Sus scrofa: one gene and its partner. The protein of the gene in region 1 interacts with the protein of each later gene in a pairwise test. Links are inferred from orthologs where the notes say so. Each region holds a gene or a part of one and is shown on either strand. Other genes may lie near its edges.

Evidence for each region. The genes of interacting proteins can lie anywhere in the genome.
Region 2: the proteins of CEP72 (region 1) and PIN4 interact in binary tests that used the Homo sapiens proteins (3 or more experiments, as listed by UniProt). The two-hybrid records come from large-scale screens. The link is inferred for Sus scrofa from reciprocal best matches to the Homo sapiens genes CEP72 and PIN4.

What each region holds. Positions count from the first base shown.
Region 1 is NC_010458.4:79,563,676-79,567,280, reverse strand, and holds part of CEP72 (centrosomal protein of 72 kDa), read left to right. Parts: intron 1-348; coding exon 349-487; intron 488-1,454; coding exon 1,455-1,651; intron 1,652-3,605. UniProt on the Homo sapiens protein: Involved in the recruitment of key centrosomal proteins to the centrosome.
Region 2 is NC_010461.5:58,068,351-58,072,578, forward strand, and holds the start of PIN4 (peptidyl-prolyl cis-trans isomerase NIMA-interacting 4), read left to right. Parts: upstream 1-1,407; 5' UTR 1,408-1,513; coding exon 1,514-1,556; intron 1,557-4,228.

The sequences.
Region 1 (3,605 bases):
GTGGGGCTCCCGTGACTGTTCAGGCCAAGAGGGGTCTCCTCCTCCATCCCGGGGTCGCTGGGGCCGGTTCAGGAGGGCCCGGGACCGCTGTCTCTGGACACTGACGGGCTCCCCCACTGTTACACTCGGAGGCAGTTCAGCCGTTCCTCCCCGTGTGCAGGGGCCACATGTGCCAGGCGCAGGGAAGCAATGCCCACATGCCACCCTGCAGGTTGGCGATGCATGTGCCAGTGGTGGGGTGAGGCCCCAGCACAGTGTGCAGCCGACCGCTTTGGAAGCCTTGCGCGGCATTGAACCCCTGGGTTTCAGGGACAGAAACAGCCGAGGCCGTGCATTGTGTCCGTGCAGGTGTGTCCCAGGCTGCCCTTTGCTGTCGCGCCTGGCAAGAGGCCCGCCCTGGAGGGGCTGCTCCTGGAAGCTCTCCTTGACCTGGTGGACAGGTACTGGAGTGGCTGCAGATCGCTGCATGGCAACGAGCTGTTCCTGGGTGAGTCGAGGGCCAGCAGCCCCACTCTGCATGCAGGTGCTCGTGCCCTGCTGGGTTGTGGTCCCCGTGCCTGCGCTGCAGGGACAGTCCTGCTTCTGGGTCCTCCCAGGCAGCAGCCACAGGGAACTTCTCACGGCCGTGGCTCTTGTCTCCCACCTGCTGGCACTCCCTGGGTGTTTGCTTGTCCTTGCTCTGGTTTCGGTGGGGATTGCAGACCTGAGGAAGTTGCTGCTCCAGATCCTCAGAGCATCTGACTGAGTGCAGAGCCCTGGACGTACTGAGGTTTTGCTGCAAATGACTTGCGGCCTAGACCCTCCCAGAGGGGACCTGGGGTTGCTTCCGCCTGGTGCCTGCTCGGGCACACGGGGGACCTGCGTCCAGAGCCAGGGTGTGGGACAGGGAGACGCTTCGTCCCCAGGGCCACCTTCTACAGCCTGGTGCAGCTTCACCTGTCCCAGGAAAGGAGGGACCTGCCAGCTGTCCCCTTTCTAGCAGACCCTGGGCTCCGCCTGGACCTGTCACCTCAGCCCCACCAGAGCCTCCTGAGTGTCTGCTCCGAGTCTCGGCCCCTCAGCTTCTCCTTCTGGAATCAGGGTGCTCTGAGAAGCGGGAGCCCCTGTAAACCCACACCCTCCCAGGGCTGCAGCAGGACTGGTCTGCCTTCCCAGTCGGGGAGCTGCCAGGCTGCGCGGTGCTGGGGAAGAGCGTTCAGACAGACCGTCTCAGCCATGCTGTTCCCGGGCCGCCCTTTTCTCCGGATAGAACAGGTGCTCTGCACCTGCTGGTCATCACCCGGGGCTGGGGCTGAAGAGGCTGATGAGGTCATTTCAGTGGTGTCTGTGTCCCTTTCCAGTCTCCACGCCGGTCCCTGTTTTCGAGGCATGTAGCCCATGTTACTCAAAATGCACTGAGTGTGTTTTGTTTACACGCCTTCTTTCGACGTAAATGCTGTTTTTGATTCTTCCAGCTCAGGCACGACACATTTTGTCATCTCTTCAAGAAGTTACAGCTGCTCAGGACAGTTCAACCACTGTGAGTGAAGAAATTGGCTACCTGACTCTGGAGAATAAGTCTTTGCACAGTCACCTGGGTGAGCTGCAGCGGCAGTGCGGTGCGAAGCTGAGCGAGGTGGTGCTGGAACTTGGCAGCACTCGGAAGGAGATGGTGAGCCCCTCCTGTTTGTTCCTTTTGCTCACCCAAGGGGCAGAGTGAGGGTGGCTTCCCCCGCGGCTGTCGGGTACAGCTCTGGGCCCCCCCTGCCGCCGCCCCCCCGCCCTTCTAGGACCCAGCCCCCTCCCCCCACGCTTTCCCTGCCCCTGGCGCCTCCAGCTGTTCCTCAGAGGCGCTGCCTACCTGCCGCTCCACAACCCCATGTGACAGCGACTGTGGGTGGCAGCATCACCACAGGTCCCAGTCTTGGCTCTCCTGGGTCATCTGCTCTGAGAGGCCAAGCGGGAGAGACGAGAGAGGGTGAGGCTGGGCTTGAGGCGGAGTATCTGTGACCACAGTCTCCCTGGCTCAGGCCCCCAGAGCACTGGGGAGAGAGGTCCCTGTCAGCTGGGTGACCCTGGGCCCCTCCTGCCATCCAGCGGGCATCAGCCCAGCATGGGACCCAAGAGGTCCTGTTGCACCGGGGGAAACTCCGCCGCAAGGTGGCGCCAAAGGGCAGCCAGAGGGCCTCCGCGGTGAGCCCGCTCCTTCCTGGCAGGTCGCCTCGTCCTGTCCTGCGTGACCACCATGGGCCCATCACTCGTAAGTGCCTGTCCTGCGATGGAAAAAAGGTCTCAAGCAACCTAGCTTCACACCTGAGAAACTAGAAAGTAGAAGAGACTAAACTCAGAGTAAGCAGAGGGAAACAAATAATAAAGATCAGAGCAGAAAGAGAGAGTAGAAAAAAATCAACGAAACTGAGCTGGGTTTTGAAAATATACAAAAATCAACAAATCCTTAGACTAAGGTTTGAGAGGAGACTCAGAATCCGAAGTGAAAGGGAGATGTCGCAGTGGGAGCCGCAGAAATAAGAGGGTCGAGGAGTGGTTGTACCCAAGCGTGTCGGAGAGCCTAGAAGAGGGATAAACTCCCGGAGACGTCAGCTGCCAGGACCGTGTCAGGGGGAGCTGACACCTCAGCAGGCCAACAGCGGATTGGCTAGTAAGCCACCCCTTCCCAAAGAAGAGCCAGGAACGGACGGTTTCACGGCCGAACTCCACCACCATGCAGAGAACTGATACTTACCTTCCTAGACGTTTCCCACAAAACAGAGGGAGAGAGAATGCTTTCCGACTCCTCTCCCACAGCCAGTACTGTCCTGATGCCAAAGCCGAAGACACCGCAAGACACGACTGCAGGCCACTATCCCTGCTGGGTGGAGAGATACGATCCCCAACACAAGACAAGTGTGCCGAAGGCAACACATGAAAAAGATGATACGCCACCGCCAAGGGCACTGTCCCCTGGAGTGCCAGCTCGGCTCAGTGGGCACAAACCAGCGCCACGTTAAACACGGGAGGATACAGACCTCACGGTCGGTGCAAAGCATCCGACAAAGTTCAACACGTGCCCACGATTAGAAAAGAAAACCCACTCAAAATCAGTATAAAAAAGTCCCCAACGCAGTAAAGGCCGTTGACGAAGAGCCCTCGGCTTTCCTCGTGGCCAGCGTGCCCCCAGCATCCAGGGCCAGGCAGGGCTGTGCGCTCCTGCAGCTCCTCGGCACGGCGGGCCCGGAGGACCGCTGGCTTCCGCGTGGCTGTCCCAGCTGGTGCTGCGGTACGCGGATGCGGAGCTGCAGGCCTGGAGAGCTGACTGTAAGTTCTGCGCAGGTTTTAAACTGGAGCAGAGTGGGCGCCCCCACCCCCACTCCAGGTTGTTCAGGGGTCAGCTGTCGTAGCAAGAGCAGGCAGACAAGACAAGGTCGAAGCACCCCAGTCGTGAAGAAGTGAGAGGATCTCTCTGTCGATGACGTGGTCATTGATGCGGAGACACTGAAGACGCCGCAGGAGAAAAGGAGAGCAGACAAACCTGGTGAAGGGCCGGTTTCCAAGTCGACATGGCAGGAAGCATTCTTACTTCTTTATATCACCGATTGTTCTGAGAAGGACACCAAGGAAACACTGCC
Region 2 (4,228 bases), on another chromosome or scaffold:
ACAGCTCTAATTAGACCCCTAGCCTGGGAACCTCCACATGCCGCGGGTGCAGCCCTAGAAAAGACAGAAAGACAAAAATAAATAAATAAATAAATAAAAGTAAAAATAAAAAACAAAAACCCAAAACCAAACCAAACAAATATGAACTTGTTGAATACTCTTATCCTTTAAGTAAATATTACTATCAGCAGTTCCATTTTACAGATGATGAAACTGAGCCAAAGAGAAGTCAGGTAACTTCCTCAAGGCCATCTAGGTAGCCAGATGGTGGAGCAGGGATTTGAAGCCAGGTAGTCCAGAATCCACGTTTTTAACTGTATTATGCTTCACTGTGATAGAAATTTTGGAAAATAAGCAGAAACATACACAGGAACTTGTACTAGCACCACTGAGCACACCTTGCTGTAGCCTTCCCGTCTTCCATATGCACATATTATATAGTATACAATATACTTAAAAAGAAAAGAATCATAGGAGTTCCCATCTTGGCTCCGGAGTTAACGAATCTGACAAGCATCCACAAGAATGCAGGTTCAATCCCTGACCTTGCTCAGTGGATTAAGGACCCACTGAACAAGGCCACTTGCCATGAGCTGTGGTAGGTAGGTCGCTGTGGTAGGTAGGTCGCAGATACAGCTCGGATCTTGCGTTGCGGTGGGTTGCTGTGGCGCAGGCCAGGAGCTACAGCTACAATTCGACCCCTAACCTGGGAACCTCCATGTGCCGCGGGGTGCGGCCCTTAAAAAAAAAAATCATATTTTTTAGCTTGGTCTATAACCTTCCTTAAGGCCATTTCTTGTGTCTGTACCCACAGCTTTACACCCATTATTTTTAAAGGGGCCTATCATTTTGTGTTATCGAAACATTATTCATTTAGGCAATGTTCGACATTTAGACTGCTTCCAATTTTTCTCCATGAGAGTTCTGCAAGAGGCAGGGGGGTGATATCCTTTTTTAAAAAACACTTTTTTAACTAAGTCAGCTACAAGCTGCAAAATCAACTTTAAAAACGAAAACCCAAAAGAGACAATCTGCCGCTCGCGTGCAGGATGGGGCAGGACCGAGAAGCAACCGCCGGGTCGCTTCCCGCTTTGCCTTTGTCTGCCCGCCGCGCGAGAATAAGTAGAGCCGGGGCGAGGGACTGCAGAAGCCCGCGGGTACCACTACGCATGCGTGGAAGAGGCGGGCGGGGGAATGAGGGAAGCGGTGCACAAATAAGGTCGAGAGACAGAAGCAGCAAATAGCGCAGAGGCGGGGTTTCCCGTCCCTGCCCAACCTCTAGCTCCGCCCCCCTACCCGGCCCGAGCTTTTTATTGGTCAGATTTGTTTAGCCCCATTGGCCCTAGAGCCAAAGGACCGGGTCTGCCCCAAGATATGCCTGCTTCCTGAGCCGCAGTAAGAATGGCCAATTGCCATGCCGCTTGCAGGCATATGTTTAGGACATACCCGTGGGGCTTGAAGGGGCTTTGTGTGGCAACTAAAGCAACTGAGAGTTCGACGACCAGTTTCGGAGATGCCACCGAAAGGAAAAAGCGCATCGGGAAAAGGGGGGAAAGGTAGAGCAGCCAGAGCAGCTGAGGAGAATGGGGTCGGGTGAAGAGCGAGGGAGCAGACTGGGGATTCCCGGGATCTGGGACGGAGGCAGCGGGTGGCTAGTGACTAGAGCACTGACCAGGAAGTGATATAGTGAGAATTATAGTGATAATTGTTGGAAGCAGTGTGGACTTCTCAGGAAAATTTTTATTTAAAAGCATGGGGGAGTTACCTTGTGGCTCGGCGGGTTAAGAATCAGGAGTTGTCACTACAGCGGCTCGGGTCGCTGCTGTGGCACGTGTTCGATCCTTGGCCTCAGAACTTGCGAATGCCGCGGGGGTGGGGGGCAAAAAATGGGGATTAGATGGTACATAGAAGAGGATTACGAGAAAGTTTGAAATTTTGATTTTGTTTGTTTCTTCACAATGGGCAAAACTTGGGAATGAGGCTGACAGATCCAGTAGGGTTTGAGAGGGAAAGGTACAGAGGCGTGAGACTTAGGAGAAAAACGGTGGATCAGTTATTCTTGGAATAGGAGAGGGTCACAATATGCTTGAGGTCACAGGGAAAGAGATGAAGATGGATGTGATTGTGAAAATTGGAGCCAGAGAGGAGGAGGGGTGGAGTTTCTAGGAGATCAGGTTTAATGACCTCAATATTTTAATAAAGTGGAAGGTAGGGGTAGTTTTTAAGACTCAGGAGGCAGGGACGGAGTAGGGGTCTTGAAGAGAGTGGTAAAGGTTTGAAATTGTCGTTGGGATCATGGGAGAGGGGATGAAACATTAATAAAAGTGTCGCCTTCAGGGCTGAGAGCCTGAATAAGACTGAAGGCCATGACTTTGTAGAGGACATAGCACAGTCATGATTTACTGAGTACCATATAACTGACACAATACAGGACTGAAAAGAGCTAGGTTGTAGCCTTGAGCCAAAGTTAAGATTTTGTTGGACAATGATAACAGAAGAAGAGCAATGTAAGGGAATTACAAGTACCAGTGGAAACGCAGTTCAGATGATCAAGCATGGGATCCAGAGTGGGAAGGGAAGGAGAAGTCTGTTAGTCTAGGGGAACATAGCAGGATAAAGGGATTGAGTGGGAGAGTGGTTTTTGTGGAATTAAAGGGCCTGCGTTGTGGGAATGAGGCATGAGAAAGCTTGGAAGGACAGGAAATTGAGCCAAAGACTGAACCACTAGTTCTGAGTGGCACAGTTCCATCGTGTGCCCCTGGGAACAGGCAGCTTGGAGTAGAAGGCATGGACATTTGGGATGGAGCTCCAGAAGTGCGAGGTTAGGCTGTTGGATGATTCCTCTGCATAGGTGGTAAGGTCATCTAAACTCATGGCAGGAGTGAGGGTGGAATGGAAGCTTGAAGTTGGTGCCAGAGTCCTCAGTCAGAGCCAGTGAGCTGGCCGTCAGAAGATGATAGCATCGAGTAGGGGAGAGGATGGGATAACTGGAAGGCATTATTGTTCTAGTGTCAGTGTACAGCAGACTCACTTAAGAATTTGATGTAATAAAACTCCTGTGGCCGTAACATTCTCCTAGCCATTTGGTGGTCAGAATTTTGGGTTTTCAGTTTGGTTGAACATTTATTGAACAACTGTTGTATGCTAGGCAGTGGAGATCCAAGACAAGTAAGATGGAGAGTCCTGAATAAAACTTTTCAATGGCTCCCTATTACTCCTAGGATCAATTCCAATTTCCTTAATGGGGCCCAAAGACCCGCATACCCTAACCCCCAGCCACCTCCCCTGGGCTCATCTCACCCACTCCCACCTCAGATTTGGCTTCATCCATAGTCTTCTACACATACTGCACTGTTCCCCCACCCTGAAGCGTCTCCCCGCCTTTGTTCTTTCTTTGCCTGGTCAGCTCCTACTCATCCAAGAAAACTTCCCTGACTGGCTAAAATATCCCTCTTTGCTTCCACAGCCACCTGTCTGTAGAGCATACCTCATTCTCCTGAAGAGATCTGCTTTGCATAACTTTATATAACCATCTTCCCAGTAGTATATGAGCTCCCTGAGCAAGGGAGCTTGTTCATCTTTATGTCTTTGCCTGGAACTTAGTTACTTAGGAAATGTTTATTGAACTGAACACTTAATCCAACAATAGTTCTTAGGAACATCAGCCTCCAACAGTAAGTATGCTGCCATCAGTGCAGAAGTTGACATAGTAGCAAAATGACACAGTAGTAAAATGTAAAATGCTGCCAGTGGTTGTTAATCTGAATATCAGTAACTTTTCTTTGGAAGGTATCAATAGGCAATGTAGTAGACTCCAAGAGTCTGGACATGAATGTATTGTTTATCCAAATCTGGATGGTGGGAAATTTGATCTTTAAAATACATTCTTGGAGATTCTACTTATTGGAATTGTGAGTACTCAAATACATGGTTGCAGTGCTTATTAGAAATCTCCCAAGAGCTCAGTGGTTTGCCCTTAGAGGGCAGGATTTCAAAGTGGATGCAAGGAATCCAGGCTGGGCTTTAGGTGCTCCCATTCAACTACAGCACACTTACTTGTGTATCCATTTTCTGTGAAGGGTTTATGTAGGGCACAAATTTCCTGTTTGAAGAGAGGTGAATCATAGATTAATTTAGCTTCATGAAGTAAAGTGTCTACTGAGTTCCCTTTTGAAGCTTAGTGCTATGGTGGAAGTATCAACTCCTGTTATGTTGAACTTCTCTGTAA